Linked DNA regions of Schizosaccharomyces pombe. Changing the gene in region 4 together with the main gene of any one other region gives a genetic interaction. Each region holds a gene or a part of one and is shown on either strand. Other genes may lie near its edges.

The links.
Region 1: mutations in rga3 (region 4) and atp15 together harm fitness more than expected from each alone (negative genetic interaction), as found in Schizosaccharomyces pombe (one large-scale study listed by BioGRID).
Region 2: mutations in rga3 (region 4) and SPOM_SPACUNK4.15 together harm fitness more than expected from each alone (negative genetic interaction), as found in Schizosaccharomyces pombe (one large-scale study listed by BioGRID).
Region 3: mutations in rga3 (region 4) and mde5 together harm fitness more than expected from each alone (negative genetic interaction), as found in Schizosaccharomyces pombe (one large-scale study listed by BioGRID).

What each region holds. Positions count from the first base shown.
Region 1 is NC_003423.3:3,783,306-3,786,181, reverse strand, and holds atp15 (F0-ATPase epsilon subunit Atp15), read left to right. Parts: upstream 1-1,679; 5' UTR 1,680-1,719; coding exon 1,720-1,748; intron 1,749-1,820; coding exon 1,821-1,995; 3' UTR 1,996-2,326; downstream 2,327-2,876. Other genes in the region: bch1 (ChAPs family protein), read right to left, coding at 127-253, 303-334. UniProt on the Schizosaccharomyces pombe protein: Mitochondrial membrane ATP synthase (F(1)F(0) ATP synthase or Complex V) produces ATP from ADP in the presence of a proton gradient across the membrane which is generated by electron transport complexes of the respiratory chain.
Region 2 is NC_003424.3:2,880,452-2,884,034, reverse strand, and holds SPOM_SPACUNK4.15 (2',3'-cyclic-nucleotide 3'-phosphodiesterase), read left to right. Parts: upstream 1-1,853; 5' UTR 1,854-2,042; intron 2,043-2,091; 5' UTR 2,092-2,303; coding exon 2,304-2,930; 3' UTR 2,931-3,072; downstream 3,073-3,583. Other genes in the region: BRCT domain protein Mdb1, read left to right, coding at 1-493, 546-851.
Region 3 is NC_003424.3:2,536,777-2,540,623, forward strand, and holds mde5 (alpha-amylase), read left to right. Parts: upstream 1-1,665; 5' UTR 1,666-1,684; coding exon 1,685-3,226; 3' UTR 3,227-3,305; downstream 3,306-3,847. Other genes in the region: ribosome biogenesis protein Sqt1, read right to left, coding at 1-1,124; SPOM_SPAC4A8.02C (uncharacterized protein), read right to left, coding at 3,471-3,847.
Region 4 is NC_003424.3:5,123,029-5,130,821, reverse strand, and holds rga3 (Rho-type GTPase-activating protein Rga3), read left to right. Parts: upstream 1-1,788; 5' UTR 1,789-1,983; coding exon 1,984-4,893; 3' UTR 4,894-5,589; coding exon of another isoform or gene 5,590-6,042; 3' UTR 6,043-6,208; coding exon of another isoform or gene 6,209-6,430; 3' UTR 6,431-7,494; downstream 7,495-7,793. Other genes in the region: RNA polymerase I upstream activation factor complex subunit Rrn5, read left to right, coding at 1-767; protein mug108, read right to left, coding at 5,590-6,042; SPOM_SPAC29A4.22 (uncharacterized protein), read right to left, coding at 6,209-6,430. UniProt on the Schizosaccharomyces pombe protein: GTPase-activating protein for Rho-type proteins.

The DNA.
Region 1 (2,876 bases), on a different chromosome or scaffold from region 4:
ACGTAAAACGTTAACGTTTCAATAGGAGTGAAAAGTTTGGTAAAGAGAGACTTGTCTTGATCCTTTCCCCACTAATCTCCAACATCATTAACACTACAGCTTTCGCTGCTTTAAAAAGTGACATACCTCTTTTGATGGATTTTTTGCATTAACTTTTATAGTATTGACCTGATCAGGAGGCCCGAGTTCTTTAAATTGTGCGATGGATTTAGAACGCGCATCTAATGACTCGTTTACACGAGTTTCTAAAAACCTATCGTCATTGTTTAGAACTTCAGCTCAATTATATTTAAGGAACTTACTCTGGTATATCCTTAAAGAATGAATCACTCATATATCATAAATTGGAATTAATATGCAAAGCAGCGTTCAATTCGGCCTCGTGGCTGGTTCCAGTTAAGAGGTTATGGTGTAGCCGCAGCCTGACTTGCTGTAACGAAGTGTAGCAAGCGACAATTAGGCAATCGTCCACAATTTCCTTATATATAAAGAATAAATAAATATCATTAAATTATGCATTTAGTGTATTTGAAAACCAAAAAATAATTGAATATTATACATTTTGATTTGTATCTTCATTCATCCTGACAATTGATGATTTAGGGAAGTCAAAAGTAGTACCCAACGAATAGTGTAGCGATAATTTTTTCTTAAGATTACAACTCATTGATTAATACAATTGAAATAAAAATTTCTTGTTGGTGCGGAATCCAACGCAATTAGTATTAAAAAAAAGAACAGCTTTATGTTAGTTTCCACTAAAAGTTAGACCAGTCATACGCACAATGTTAGCTTTAAAAAACTCGCACAATACGCTGGTAAGCATATGATAAATTAATACAATACTTCCAAGCAATTGCGAATGTAAGTTGCTGTGAATTTTTTTCCGAATTTCGAAATCTTTAACGAACCTTTAATGAAACGTCTAAAAGTAGAATCAGGAGTTATTGATTTTTGCATTATATATCTCCTTGACAAGAAATTTTTTGTTTCATCTAGCCATACATTTTGATAGATGTCTCTTGCAATGAACCATTGTTTGTTTAAAATATCCTAAAACCAAATAACATGTGCGAATACGTTATTTAATAGTGCAAAATTCTACAAAGAAAGAATCGAAATTTATGCTTAAGCCATTCATGTTAACGCTCATCAAGAAAGCTAATTTGACTAAATACAATCAATGGAGAGTGCTAGTATACATTGCTTGTTTTAACTGACATTTTTAAATTAACTACGATAAGTGTTAAGATTAAACAAAGTGAGAAACGTAACAGTGCTTAAGTTCAGTTTTCTTGCGAATGTATTGAATTACTTTCACTTGCCCAGCTAGTAAACAATTAAGGCTTTGGTACCGCTTTGTCCTTCTAATAAATTATGGTTAGTAGCGAAAATAACCAGCCTTTTGACTGATGAGAGGTATATATTCATTTGTCAATTCAAATTAATACGGCCTTTTGAATATTTATTTACTGAATAGTGTTGATTAATAAAAAGGCAATCTGTATAGCGATGAATCGTTAGCATCACCAAAGTCATTTTAATCAAACTGCGCTATATTTTACTAAGAAAAGCACGTTACCAATGTTAGATTAACGAATGTACATATTGAACTCAATAAATGTGTCCGACCCTTACCGAACGGGGTTTCAAGAGAGTGTCATGGATTTTAAGTTACCGTTCCCCCATCTCTGTACGATTTAGCAATTCATTGAGAAAATGGCTTTTGCTTGGAAGAAAAACTTTAGGTATGGATTCATTTCTTGAATGTGAACATTAAATATACCCTGATAGTTTTACTAATGAATGAATATTTGTAGTTATAGCAAATATGCTTCTATTTGTTCCCAAACTGTTCGTCAAGCCTTAAAACCGGAAATTAAAAACGAGGTTAAAACTCATGGTGATGCAGAGTTCCTTTATACTCGATGGAAAAATGGCGCTCAGGAAAAAACGGAGTCTTACAATTCGGCAAAGTCTGCTGATAAGGAATGAAAATAAAGGCTACAAACGAATTTTTTGTCCTTCATTACCCATTGGTAATATTTCAGCTTCATTTGATGTTTCACTCATTTCAACAGATATCACTGATGGTTTACAATCTCTTATAATGATTACTATATTCGACTTAACGTTGAATTACTAACTGATCCTTTCAATAAATTTTTATTACTTTTTTTAATGATGAAGTTTAATAGAACAAGGTAGTTTGCTCTGTTTTCTTAAAACTGTTGAGAATGGCACTTCAAATCATTGTGGTTGCTCTGTATTTTCGATCAAATCTATAATCGGCCTTTGTCTCAAAACCAAAAATTGTTGATTTTACTATAATGAGATGTAGCTAATTTAGAAGTAAGTGAGTTTTGTCACTAATATCATTCATTAACGTAGTTTTTGTTTTTGCTACTACCGAGATCATTTATAGTCGCATTACACAGTAAACTTACTACAATACTATGTTCTTAATTGTTTGTATCGTTATCTAGTTTCTAAAAAATGGCTTCAACGTCGAACAAAATTGCTTGTTCTACTGTTTTCAAACAATCATGCAAACTCACCCATTAAAAAATTTTTAATTGTATGAATACAATTTTAGAGCCCGAATGAAAGAAACAGGGTATACATACGAAATCGCATTACATTCAAAACAAACTCCACTTGATGCCTTGTACTCTTTCTCTTCTTGCAAGGATATAGTGTATCGTTTAACTTCGCTATTTAGTGACTACTTGGGTCTCTAGATATGCCACTAAAGACGTGTTTGAGACCTGTCTGCACCTGTCTATGTTGGCGTTTGTAGTCGAAGGCAACGTGCGGTATTAACGATGCAGAAAATCAACACACTCTTCTTTTTGAAAACCACGAACTAAATACGT
Region 2 (3,583 bases), 2.2 Mb from region 4:
TTATTCTTTCCCCTCATCATCTTTAGAGGATCAACCTGACAAGAATGTGCAGTCCTCGGCAGTTGAAAATAAAAACAAGCACACAAATCTGGTAACGTCGAGTTTCAACCTAACTAAACCGATGAAAAGTTTTATAAGGAGAAATGGTCTAAGGGTGCAAGAAAGTGTCACAGACGAAACCGACTTTGTCATCCTTGGTTCACCTCCACTTCGGAGGACACATAAGTTTTTACTGGCGACTTCTCTAGGTATACCACTTGTCTCTTCTCAATACTTGACAGACTGTATAAAATCAGGTAAAGTTTTAGATTTTCGTAGCTACAAATATAAAGACGAGGAAGCAGAAGCCAAGTGGGGATTTCGTTTGGACGATATCCACAGAAGAACGTGTTTCAATGGGAAAAGACTATACATTACAAAGGCAATTCGAGATTCGATGGTAGGGGATTCTATACACGGACTTTACTCAATTTTGGAAACATCTGGAGCTGAGGTAAGTGAAAGATGGAGAATATCTAGTTATGATAGGCTAATGATTTAAATAGATTGTTGGTGATATTAAAAGGGCTCAAGAGAAGGACACAATTATACTTGCTCAACCTGACAACGATCAAGAAGGACGGAATATGAGTGCTACTGGTTTAAATGTGTACAAGATTGAACTAGTAGCTTTATCCATCTTGCGTGATCGAATTGATTTTGATGAATTTTTGATTGACTATGATGCTGACAGTCCCACCAAAGTAATTGGAAAAAGAAATGTCTCAAAGGCATCCCGAACCGGGCAAGGAAGAAAACGATCCTCTCGTTCATCTTGGAACAAACCAAGTGCAAAGGAGCAAAGAACATAAAATTAAAGGTAAAGAGGACATCGTTTACTTTGTCTATTATTTATTTATAGAAGTATATTTGCAAACATATATTCTTGAGTTTCTTCTATGAAGGAGGACCATTAGAAATTATACAAAAATAGAATTTTAATAATGATATTAAATAAACGAGCGTATTTAAGGGCGAAGGATAAAAAACCTACACGGTTATTTAATGAAATATGCGATCTGTTAGTTGATTGTTAAAATCTTGAACCAATAAATTCAAGATACTCAACATAAATGAATCGATTTCAATACGCTTTTTTTTCTATTTTCCAGATAATGTATGAAAAAAAATAGTTTGACCAATTCCCGAAATTTATAATTATTACATCTCAATTAAAAAAACAAATAAAGAAATAAATAAAATGATATGAAATGAAGTACAAAAGGTTAATAAAAATAAATAACAAATTTCTACACGATTAAAAGATATAAAAGGTAAAAATCTTTATGAGTAGAAAAACGCATATACTTATTTGCGGTTTTAAGAGGAAGTAAAAGGAGGTAATTCCGAAACATAAAAATAAAGGGGCCTCATTATAGTGCTTCTTTTTAGTCTTGCAATTTTATTTTATTTTTTGAAAAGGTTTAGTTGTTTGTTTATTGACTACAAAACACAGCAAATCCACTCGTCATATCAGATCAAGCATACCGCATATCTAACAAATGATTCTGCAATGCATTGCACTTCACTGTATAAAATTTATTCATAAAATGCGCAATATGTATATCAGGCACTTATAGGTTTACCCAAATATGCTGTTAAATGGAATACACAGTTTTTTGCGCCATCTTACCATTTATAAAGCGTGAATTTAGAGACCCGCACATGCTTCCGCACACGGCCAAATGAGCGCTAAACCTCGGACGAGAAAGTGACCTGTGTGCTGTTTCTATTTATCGCATCGCTACGATGACATCATAGTGTGGTGAAAGCACCAGCTGTTATAAGCAGACCAACGAACCAACTCACTGTTCAACAATATTAATCAAGTTCTATTTCTTATACAAGCAATTTGGAAAATAAATCAAGTGTTAAATACATTCTTTGCTTGAGTGTATTTTATATTTTTTAGTGTTCTGTCCTTGCAATCGAAAAAAGCGCATTGACAGGTTTCGAAGCGAACAAGGAAATATCGGTTTTACTCTTGAAACAGAAATTTAACTGTATGTGAAAATTTTTTTTGGAGTTTCATTTACTAATAAAGAAGAATAGTGTGGTATTAAAAAAAATACGCAAAATATTGACTACATATTTGTTGAAATAAATTGGCGAAGGATTTATACGTATTTTATATTTATTTTTCCTCTTTTCAACACCATTATAGCGTTGCATACAATTTTCACTGCTGACAACCTTTTAAATTTTTTTTACTCTTTATTTTTTCCAGCCCCTTGTAATTAGGAAATCTAGCTTTCTCCTTCATCATGCCCCAATTTTTCAGGACCCAGCCTTTGACCGATAGGACTACAAGTCATGGTTTTGCTGAAGTTTCTTCCGAAGACCATTGTTATTGTGTTTGGCTCGTACCTGCCATTTCCTCTGATATTGAGTTGAGATATCGAACGTTTGTCGACTGGGCTGTGTGTCACAAAGTCGACTTTGAAGAAATGCAGTTACCTACCGCTCCTCACATTACTTTAGCTCGTGGTATCAAGCTGAAACCAAATCAATCGTTTAAGAGTGTTTTGCAATATATCGCTTCCAAGCGCAAGTCTCCTTTGAACATAAAGTTCGGCAAAGTCGCTATTGGGGATTCCTTCTACAAACGTGTATATATTCAGGTAGAGAAAACTCCCGGCTTGGAAGAATTGCAAAATGCTGCTTATGACTTGGCCGATACTTCTGATCCTTTTAATGTCATCGAACATCCCTATATGCCTGTCATTTATGCAAAGAGTATTTGCTCTGACTACTCTACTTCCGACCCCATTGAGACGATTTCTTCAATCGGTCAAGCCAGTTGGGGAAAGGCCTGTTTTCTTGAACTCATTCAATTAAACAAGGCCAACCATCAAGGATACGTCTGTGATCGTATTGAATTTACCGTCTAATCATTTGCTTTCCAATCTTTTTTTTTTTTTTCTTATTGATACTTTGCAAATATACCTAAACAAAAAGAGATATAGCAGGATGATACCTAGTTATTTCGCTTTAGTATTTTAATGAAGATTTAAAAAGCCTTTTTGTAACTTTATTTATTTTTATCCCTTAATGGTTTTATTAAGGTGAAAACAATCTCGCTTAAATGGATTATTCAAACCCTTAATTTTTTTTGCTTCATGTATTAACAATTTCTACCTTTATAGTATCTTTTTCACTAACTTAAATGCATCTGGTGATCACCTTTCCTGCTTTACTTTTAAACTTTGACTAAGGAAACTATTTACTTGTCTGCAGCTACTAAAAACAATATTTCGCGTTATATAAATTACCCATGTACGTGATTCAATGAAATAACATGCAGCGGTAACTATTCACACGGCGGAACCTTTCTATATCAATAAATAGATCATAATATTAGTTAACTACTACGTTGATATGGCATCTCAAATACTTATCGACCAATCCTTTGTAAACATGACTTATTTATTTATTCATTTATCTACCTTTATGCTTCAACTAACGTTTTCTATCAAACAAAAGCTGAGAATAGATGTAACATTTCCAAATTTTATCTTACATAAGAAGCATCAACAACTATCGT
Region 3 (3,847 bases), 2.6 Mb from region 4:
GCCATACACAAGATAGGCTCTTGATGGCCTGTATACTCGCCAAGTAATTGGCCAGACCGAACATCCCATTTTCGAATAACACAATCCGCGCATGCAGTCAACAAATATGGAGTGTTGGGTAAAAACTTACAATCAATAACCGCTTGTTCATGGGGAAGGGATTTTCTAAACTTAAGGGATGCAGAATCGTAAAGCGCGACAGTACCATCGACACTAGCACACGCACATATAGGTAAGGCCGTGCAAAGTGCGATAGCTTCTACACTTTCAGTTTGGGCCTCCAAAGAAGCAAGAATATGACTACTATTAATGTTGACAACTTTTACTTTTCCTGACGAACCTCCTAAGAAAAGAACGTTACCTTCAGCATTACAGTCGAAGCTGGTCCAACCGGCGGCAGTTTCTTCATTACCAGGATCAAAGCGATGATCATCACTAGACATTCTGCATTCTGGTGCTCCAGTAGCCGGGTTCCAAACAATTAATGTACCAGAATCATCTACGGTTGCTAAACGCTTGCCAACACCGGGTGGGATGAATTTTCCAGCATTTACAGGTGCCGTATGGCCATACATAACCTGAACCACCTTACCAGAGGGAAGACTCCACATCCATATACTTCCGTCATTACAACCGGCGGCTAAGAACAAGCCCTTAGGGTGCCAAGATAACCAAACAATTTCGTCCACAGTTTCAAAAGCAGTAATGAACTCAAAACCTGTACTGGATTTCCACAATCTGACTTGACTATCCATACCACCAGTAGCAATATAAGTTCCATCAAAGCTCCAGTCTATAGCTACTATGGAGTCTTTATGTCCTGTCAATTGACATATTTGTTCACCGGTAGTAATGTCCCATATATACCCTAGGTCATCTCCTCCACCAGACGCGCACAGATTTGAATGCACTGGATTGATAGAGACGCTGAATACAGAGTCTTTATGCTCGAAAAAACCTTGAACAGACATGTCCATAACCATGTTATTCATAGTATCGTTTTGTTCTTGCTCAGCTTCGTCCTCTGTGACACCTTGGTCCATTAGTTTGTCATTATCTTTAATAACTTCTTCTACTTCATTTTCTGCTATGTATAATTCTTGATTTTCTTCTTCTTCGGCCATTATTAATGTGGGTGTGTACCAGCTAAAAAGCTTTGCAAAGGTCAAGCTTAGTAAGGAAATCAGTATGTATGTAATTTTACTTAGGTAATAATATATTAATTTTATTCATTATATATACATATAATAAAAATAAATAACAAAAGTATCTTAAAATAAAACTAGTTTAATTAAATTATTTATTACGTTTAACCAGTGAATGAGTGCAAGATAGTATACAAAAATTTTCAATATTTCAAAATGCTACAATTCATATTAGACTCAAATATATATAGTTATAACCTAATTCTTCATAAACAATAATCTTTCGTAGTAATCCACTTCTTGAAGTTTTCATATTCGTAATTGATCCACCATCTGTAATAGCCAAATAAGAATTCCTACGGCCATTATTACTGGATACGCTGAATTAACGTATGAAATGGTTTGTTTACTTTCTTGAGCGTTTTAAAGCTATAAAGGGAAAGAAAGTATTTTTGTTTGTTTACAATGAAGTAAACAAAAAAAAACTACTTAAGTGACAAGCGCAAGCAAACACTTCTCTGGAGCAACTATCATAAAGTATGAAGCACAACGAAGTTTTTGGATGGACACTGAAGGTGCTTTCATTTCTTTTGGTGGTAATCCCGGCCAATGCATTAGACAAACATGGTTGGAGAAAACAATCAATTTATTCTTTGTTGACAGATAGGTTTGCTTCTACTAATCCAAAACCCTGTAATCCAGAAGATCGTGAATACTGTGGAGGCAACTGGAGGGGAATCATTGATAAATTAGATTACATACAAGGTATGGGTTTCACTGCTATTTGGATTTCTCCTATTATCAAAAATATTGAAGGAAGGACAAAATATGGGGAAGCTTACCACGGCTATTGGCCGCAAGACCTATACACTCTCAATCCACATTTTGGTACTGAACAGGACTTAATTGATTTAGCAGACGCTTTACACGATCGAGGCATGTATTTGATGGTCGATACAGTAGTCAATCACATGGGATCATCTGATCCTCGGAACATTGACTACGGCATCTATAGACCATTCAATCAATCAAGTCATTATCACCCAATGTGCCCAATTGAGCAAGACAAACCTTTGTCGCTCGAACAATGTTGGATTGGTACTGAAGATATGACATTGCCGGACATTGATACAGAAAATCCTCAGATTATTGAAACATTGTACAATTTTATCCACGATCAAGTGAAGCAGTTCAAAATCGACGGCCTCCGTGTTGACGCAACTAAACACGTTCGACGTACTTTTTGGCCAGGATTTTGCGAATCTGCTGGAGTCTATTGTCAAGGAGAAGAATGGACAGGGCAGGCGGATCTGTTTTGCGAATGGCAGGAGTACATGGACGGATTGCATAACTTTCCTGTCCAAGGTGTAGCAGCTGAATCTGTGATCCCACTAAATGACCGCGCTTTAAGGAAAACTGCAATCGCAATGAATCTTGTTGCCCATCACTGCAAAGATAGTACTCTGTTAGGTCTTTTCTTGGAGTCTCAGGACGCACCAAGATTAGCTGCATTGAATAACGATTATACCGTACTAAAAAATGCGATGACTTTAAACCTTATGTCGGATGGAATTCCTATTGTTTTCTACGGACAAGAACAGATGTTTAATGGAAGTCACGATCCCGTAAACCGTCCTGCTCTTTGGGATCAAGGATATAATACAGATGGTCCTTTATATCAGTATACCAGTAAGGTCAATAAAATTCGCCGTGACTTAATTAACTCTGAAGACGGCGAAATATACATTAGGTCCATAACACATGCCATCATGATAGGTGATCACGTTATGGTCATGTACAAAGGTCCTGTAATCACATTCATTACCAACTATGGAGCCGTGGACAAGGAATATTTAATTAAAATGCCTGGTTCAGAAACAATGATTGATCTATTGACCTGTACGCTCATTGAAGTAGAAGGAGAGGTGATGAGAACATCTATTAAGAAAGGGGAACCCAAAATATTGTATCCCTACCAACTGGCCTTTCGCGATGGATTTTGTCAAGAACAGATAACTTTACAAGAGATTGATGATGTTTTTATGGGAAGAAATGAAATTAATGGGCCCGATAGGAAGTAGGATGGAAAGAGAAAACTTCTTTTTATTTATAATTTTTAAAACTCGTGACAACAACTTAGTCACTAGGCATCACTTGTGAGTTTGCAATACATTTATAGCTAATGTATTTTTTTTTAATATAAAAAAAACCAAAAAGAAAAAAAAAAGAGTCGTTACTAAAGAAATAGTATGCTTAAATAAGCCATACAATCGGTAGTCATTCACATCATTCCCAAGCACATACTAATAAAAACTTAAAGGTACTTCAATTGCTTCGTAAACCTATAATAGTACAAACAATTGTACGAGAATGAGGTTGGCGACGAAACTCAGCTAACTGAATGTCTTGCCAAGTACCCAAGCTCAACTTCCCATTAGTAATGGGAACAGTTAAACTAGGTCCAATTAAGCTAGATTTAACATGAGCAGGCATATCGTCTAATCCTTCTGCAGTATGACGGTAGCCTGCTGATTCAGGGACAATTTTATCCAATATATCGTTCATGTCAGCTCGCGTATCTGCGTCCCAATTCTCATTGATAGTAAGAGCAGCAGAGGTATGCTGTATAAAAAAATTTACTGTACCAGAAGAAAAGCTTTTTAATTCTGGAAGCTTTTTGACCAAATCGTTTGTAATTATGT
Region 4 (7,793 bases):
ACAAACGTCTCAAATTTCAAAATTATATACACATAATGGAATCTGATGAAAGACAATCAAAACTGAAATTAGGACGAGTCAGAGCACGGAAGACAAAAAATAACGAAAACACCATGTTTTTTGATTCTAAGGAACATTCGACAGATGAAAGCGATGGTAACCTTGGAGAACATGATGTAAAGCGCAAGGTAGATTCTGTACCCGCCGATGAGACTAGCATCAATGGTTTTAAGAAATCTGTTAATCAGGCTGAGTATCCTGATAATGCTCAAATGTTCATGGATGAAAGTGTCGCAGAAGAAAGTCTTGTGGAAATTGATGACAGCGTCGAAGCCTACGACATGATTCAATCCAAAAACTACGAAAGCTTTGTTTGGAAATATGTGCTGCATTTAACCGATGAGATGTCGACAGAGGACGCTCTTTTTGAAACTATACCACTTAGTAATTTGCTGGCTCAAAAGCGAATGAAAGACAAGTTAAAAGGTTCCGACGTGTTTACGACTCTTAAAATAACTTCCAAGAGCTTGCACAACATTGACGAACATTCCGATAGTGATGATGAAGTTCAACCTATATGTTATTATTACAAGGATCCAGTTGTTTCCCATGCCCCGGGTGCAGCTGAAGTCGTATCTGAACTTGAAAGCGGATATGTAGGGTTAATATCCTATGATTTGTCTAATCTTCCAAATAGTACAGAAGATCCTGAAAGGAAACTTGCAAAACCTGTCTCTTCTTGGGAGTTGTCACTCCCTTTAAAATAGATGTCTTCATTTTCGAACTACAGTCTTGAAGCCTTTACAAAAACATAAATTGTTTTTTAGCGCTGCCTCTGTGTTGGATAGCAATCCTTTCTTTTTATCGTCATTTTCTGCCAAGTTTGTTTTTTCCTAGAAAGAAAATTTAATACTTCCTCTTTATAGCAATCAGTTATTGCCATTTATAATGATGAGTCCCAGTGTTCACAATATTCTGAAACTTTTTTTGTTAAAAACTGATTGCTTTCTTCCGTATAATTGTCCCAATATTCGCACCACAACTATAAAAATTTTTTTTAGGAGCCTTTACTTCCTTCTTAAAAGCAATAGTTACTTAATCAATTATAGCGACCCCGCTATTTGAGATACACATTTTATAAATTCTACACTTTTTGGAAACGAGCATTTTCTCTTGTCCCTTTATTTGACGATCCGACCGTTCACGCTACAAACGTCTACAAAATTTTTTTCTCTAGAAAGCATCTCTCCTTCTGTTTACTCCTGTTGCTACCGAAATTTTTTCTTTTTTTTTGTCCTCTGTGTTTTTTGATCAGGAATGTATATATCTTTAACCATTTTTTAGCGGGTTTTTTCTAAAGGTAAAGCTATTTAAGCCAGAAAAACAGTTCATTTTCCTTTTTCCTTCTAATTTCGGCAATTTCCCTTTTCACAAATATCACCATTTTTGAGTGGAAAGAAAAGCCTAGAGAGCGGAAACGCTGCCAAACCCATTAAAATTAATTATCTGTAATATTATAATCGTATTTAATAGCTATTCATAACACCCGTTTCGTCTAAACTCCCGTAATAAACCATGTGACTTTTGGCAATTTTACGCACCATATCGTAGAACACGGCGATAATTTCCATAGTGTTTCGCTAGGCTAGGGCAAGGCAAGCCAAAGACCATAGTGCCATGTGTACGACGCATGCAAATTTTAAGGGATTAGAGTGAACGACTCGCTACTGCCGTTCTCACCGCTCCACTGGGCAATGATGCCAACAACTGCAGTAATAATTATTCCTTAGCCATTTACCAATTGTTTCGAACTTCAATCATAAAATTGGGAATATTTTCATTTACTTGATGGGAAGCTGAGGAATGAAAATAGGTACCCAAAGGAATCGTTGTGAAAATAAAAATCAACAAAGCCAAATTCATGACGCTAGATTGAAGTTCATAACGTTTAGCAGGAAATAAGAAGAGCATATATACGATAAGATGATATTTCGAAAAAGTATTTCCAAATCTCCATCAAGCAAGGGAAGCACAGTATGCTTTCGCTGCGGACAGGCATTTCAACGTAGAGAGACACCTATTTCGTTTGGGGGTCATATGTGGCATAAGGATTGCTTCTGCTGTACGAAGTGCGATAAAGGATTGGAGCACAGTGATCAAATGCTGGTGCAAACCTCTGATGGACGACCGGTGTGTAGCTCTTGCGCCCATACCTGTACAGCGTGTCGTATGAGGATCAAGGACTATGCCCTAATGTCAGGCTACGACTCCTATCACAGAGAGTGTTTTCGTTGCCATGATTGCCGAAAGCAAATAATTGACTCTAACTTTAAAAGAGATAATAGGACTATATTTTGTAATGATTGTAAACAAGTCCGTCACCCTTCCAGGTCTTCAGACGAGAGCGCTGATTATCACAATTTTGAGGTTGATGTCACGATTAAGCCCACAGAGACAAAGTCTTCAGTGGAATCTAATAAGTCTTTAAGCATTGAAATTATGTCTCCTCAAAAGCCACCATTATCACCTTTTGGTGGAAGCAGAGACCGCTTAGTTAGCGAAACACCGACTAACATGAGTCAGGCAGAAGGGGGTAATGTGCCGAACGATGGACAGGATAGTAATCTTGCGTCTAATTCTGCAGATTCGCTGCTGCCTAGTGCCAAAAATCGAAGTTTTTCCTCGTTTACGAGTTTTGAATCGCCGATGAAGTATGACGATTCTTTCTTTCCTATTTCACCTTCTATATCTCCGTTACAAAAAGTTAACAAGCAGCAACAAATTGAGTCTCCTACAGCCACATTTCCGTTAAGCAAAAATACTTGGAAGAATCGATTCCATACGTTTCACAAACAATCTTTTACTCCTGTTAACGATAGCTCTTCCTCGGACAGCTTAAAACCCACAATTAATGAGGAAGCCCTGGACGACTTTGCTGGCTCTGCTTCTCCTTATAAAACCATGTCATTGACTGACCGAGCAGAGCCAATTGTCATGAATGGACATATGCGTTCTCTTCACAATGCCACCTCTCCCTTTCGGCCTTTTTCTCCCTCTTACAGGTCGAGTGATACGCATTCACCGAGAACCCGCTCACCGAATGTCCAAACCCATAAAAAAACCTCTTCTCAGCCATCTGACCTTTCATCTTTTGCGCAGCTACTTTCACCGCCTCAGGTTCTTTCTCCCAAACCAAATGGCGGGGGCCATAAAAGTTTTCGGCATTCGCATTCTCTTTCTGAGACTTCTCAGCAAACACTCGTTCCTTCGCTGGGATCTAATGGAGAGTACCATTTACCGACAAACGATCATTCTTCAACTCCAGCACAATCAGAGCGAGATTCGGATGTTGAAGAATTGCGTGAACAGTTGGAAAATCTTACTGCTCTTACCAAAAAATTGTCCGAAAGGCTCTCAAGTTCTACGTTTGACAACTCTAAGTTTATTCGTACGGAAGATAAGGATACTGTTCGTTCGGCTAAACTTGAAATTTGTGAAAAGTTTTTTTCGTTTGCTGATGTGACAGATGATCCCACGCTGAAAGATCCGAAACATCAGGATTTGGTGGCTGCCGCCAATGCTTACATGGCAATGCTTCGTGAGAGTTACGGCACTGAAATAAACAATCTTTTGGAAAGGAGAAATGAGCTGCTTGACGATTACAATAATGTACAAAAAATTTTAAATGAATCGCTTGAAGCATCTGTACACCTAAATACCAAAAATCTCGAGTTGGCCGACTTAAACAACAATTTGGTAAAACAAATTCAGCATAGAGTACCTCCTGAAAACCAATCCAATTTGGAGCATACTATTACCACATCTTCCAAAAATACAACCAGCAGTATTAATCCACTTACTGCCGTGAGTAGCAACTCTGGGCAGTCATCAGGTCGACCTGGTCCGTTGTCACCAAATTTGAATGTGACTACGAGAATTGACATTAAGGGAAAAAAGGGAAGTATGCATTTGCAACCAAGAGATGTAAACCGTAAAGTCCCGTTCAAATCAATGCATACTAAATCAAAGTCTGCCGATCCTGTAGTAGGAAATGAAGATCGTACTCAATGTGACCATGTGTTTCATGTTAATGCCATATTCAAGCCCTCAAGGTGTTATATATGCTCGGAGAGCGTATGGGGATCTGAACTCCGCTGCTTTCATTGCTCAATTTCATGCCATTCGCGGTGTTTAAAAAGGCTGTTTGCAGAGTCGGAGCATGAGAAAACAATGAGTGAAACTGTAAGTGAAAATAGTAAATGGATGCCGGAAATGCCAACGAGGATGCCTCCTCCTGGGCCTTCACCAACGATGTTTGGACGATCGTTAGAAAATCAATTGAAAATTGAAGGGTCGGTTTTGCCTCAAGTAATTGCTATGTGCGTTTCTTGCGTGGATGCGCATGGATTGGAGGTTGAAGGTATTTATAGGATATCTGGCAGTGCTTCTCAGGTCCGAGTGTTAGTCGACGAATTTGAAAACGGGTCTATCCGAATGGAGCATTTGACTTCTGACTTGTTTGCCTGTACGTCGGTTTTGAAAACATATTTGCATCGCTTACCGGAACCAGTTATACCTGGCACTCAATACGAGGAGTTGTTGGAAGCGGAAAAAATCGAAAAGGAAGAGGAAAAAATTGAACGGGTAGTGGAAGTAATGAAAACGCTTCATCCTGCACATTTGAGCGTATTTCGATTTTTGATTGCACATTTGGGTCGTGTATGCAAGCACGCGGAGAAAAATTTGATGAACTCGAAAAATGTCTCTACAGTATTTGCACCTACTTTAATGCGAGATAAGGTGAATCGGTTTGATTTACAGCATGCTACCAAAAAGAGTACGGCTCTTCAGTTTATGCTTGATAACGTGGATAAGATTCTTCATAATCTGTAGCTTGTTTTATGAATAATGATTAAAATATCGGGGAACTTGTATTTTTCTAGGGAAGAAGGAACTTTACGATAATAATAACCACTTGTGTTCCAAACTTCAATAAGGAATACTTTTCGAAGAAATAATGAGACTTTTTTTACACCTCTTTTTTTTAATGAAAAAAGGAAAACAAAGATATTAGCATAACACTCTTACATTTACGACTGAACTATTCAAACTGGGTAATACAGGATGTACATTATGACAAGCAGGCAAGCACACGCACGCTCATCAGATACAAATAAATACGCACGCAAATGGAGATTGTATAAAGATATTTGCCATTAAGCATTGCGAGATGCAAAATAAGGAAAATATAATGCTAATTTGATAAAAAAAAAAGAAAACAAACTCTTTTTAACGATACTAAACAGAACTCAACTCGATTTGGTTCGAGTATTTCGTTTCTCATAACTTGAACATAAACACAACATAAACAACTCATCAAAGACACATACATACACAAACACTACGGTCGTGCCATCATGTCTCGAAATCTCAAAGAATGGTATGGGGAACATGGTGAGGGATGAATGGCAGTGAACGTGAAAGGGGATGGATGGCATAATTAAATGTAATCTGCAACATTGTCAGTCAGGGTATGACTAATCAAAAAATAAAAATTACAAGGGAGTAAGAAAAAAAAAACAAAAGCAATCAAATAGTACTACCTAAAAGGCTTATATCCCTATCAAGATAAGGATCGTTTTGCTCTTCCTCATCAAGTTGTTCCTCGTTATTGTTTGCATTTTTCTTTTGTGTTCCATTAGCGCTCTTGGAGCGTGATTTCTTTCCTCCAAAGATGCTGCCAAGACCGCCAAGAGACGAGAAATTAACACGGCCAGTATGTTGACTGGAACGGTTGCGAGTAGACTCGGACCTGGAGTCATCGTCGCCGATATCTTCCTGAGTGGCATGGTAGCTGGAGCTCTCCATGTCATCCTCCTCTTCCTGGACCAAAGGTCCGGCCTCTGGATATTCATTCATGTATTCGTTGAATGAATGAACGCCCATCGAAGGATGGCGTTGTCTACCGGAGAAGGAGTGTTTGTCAACATGATGACCATGGGTTTCTTGAGTTTGATCACTAGAAGTAAAACGATTTGCCATTGCGGTGGATTTGAAGAAATTCGATTAGTCAATTAGTATTGGATGAAATTCAATTTCAAATTGATTTGGATTTGGATTGGATTGGACTGTCAATAACAATTTTCAACTCAATTGGTTATTGTTTGTTTTGTTATTGTTGTTGTTAGATTGTCAGTGGGTGGGTAATTTAGCTTGACTCGCTGATGATCAATAAGGGTGGATATGAATACGATTCGGTATTTGTTATTACGAAGGATGAAATATATATGTACTGTATTTTGGGAATGGAATTTTCACTCTTAGTGCCCAACCTTCTATTTATCTCCTTGCTGTGGCCAAATGTCATACGTATTGGGTTGCTACATTGAATGTAAGTGTGCCTTACTCGTCCTTTCACCCGCAACTCCATTGTTATCCAGCATCGTCATCCACTGCAATCGTGGCGCCAACCTCTTCACTTCCACCACCCATATAGCATATTTCCGTGAGTGTGTACCTCGGCGAGATCCGTTAAGTGGGTTTACGAAACAGGCCAAGAGGAGGAGGAGGGTTTGGTGATAATGCAATGGAGCACACAAGTAAGCAGGACGAAGTATGATTGATGGATGGATGAAGGAAAAGAAGAGAAAATGGCAGGTTGGTTTAGAAGAGGCTGTTCATCCCGTGGTATCGCAGTCTCAAGTATGGCACGGAAAACAAGCGTCGTTTTAATTGTCCAGGAGAAAAACAAAAAGGAAACAAGACTTTAGAGGGTCAGTCTTTTTTTTATGTCTTTTCTATTTTTGCTTTATGTTGTTGTTTTATATTCTTTCTTTCTTTTTTCTGCCTTCTTGACAATTAATTGATTTCCGCGGCAAGCTTAGTCAGTCTATAATACGGTGTTGTGCATCAGAGATGTTATGGCATTGCGTCATGATCGACACCCTTCCTAATCCCTTTTTTCTCCGCCTTCGCTTCCCCACACTTGGAGTCACAAGGCTGAGTCGATGCTACCTGAAAAGATGGGGTAATGGCATGACGAAAAAGACTGCAGGAAGAGAGGGGTGGGTGAAAGAAAGGGATTCAAACGAGACATCAATAATGGATGGAAGAAATAAAAACATAAAAGAAAAAAGAAAAAAAAAAGAAAGAAAAAGTTAAAGAAGATGAAAATTTTTGTTTGTTTGTCTCAGAACTAAAGTTTTTTTTGCTCAATTTTCTGTTCAATTTCTTTGATTCGCATTTTGTTTTGTTCCACTTTTTCTTTTTTTTTTGTCTTTGTTCCACCATTGGTTTTCTTTATCCATCTCTGTCCATTGTTGGTAATCTTGCTTTATGATTATAGGAGTCCTTTGTTTTCTCTCTCTCTTTTTTTTTTTATTTCTTTGTATGAATTGCCTTTTTTTTGACTAGCGTTCTTTGTCATACATGTCATCTTGAAATAGATGGTTTTGATTGTTTCTTGTTTTCAATAACTTTTTTTTTTTTTTTTCTGCTCTCTTTCTCTTTTCATTTTTTTTTTGGTCAGCGTGAGATACTGGCTTTCATTGAGCTACAATAAATAGTTTTGACTTTTTATTTCTATTTCTATTTCTTCTTTATTTTCCTGCTGTCTTTCTCTTCTCGCATACACAAAAGAGACTCAAACATACACACACACATACTCGGAGAGTTTCTCTCTCTCTCTCTCTCTTTTTTTTAGAGTTTCCTTTTTGCTCACTTGTTTTTCTTTGATCGTCGTTCTTTACGACATCTTTGTATTATAACGAAAATAACCTTTATTTGGACTTTCT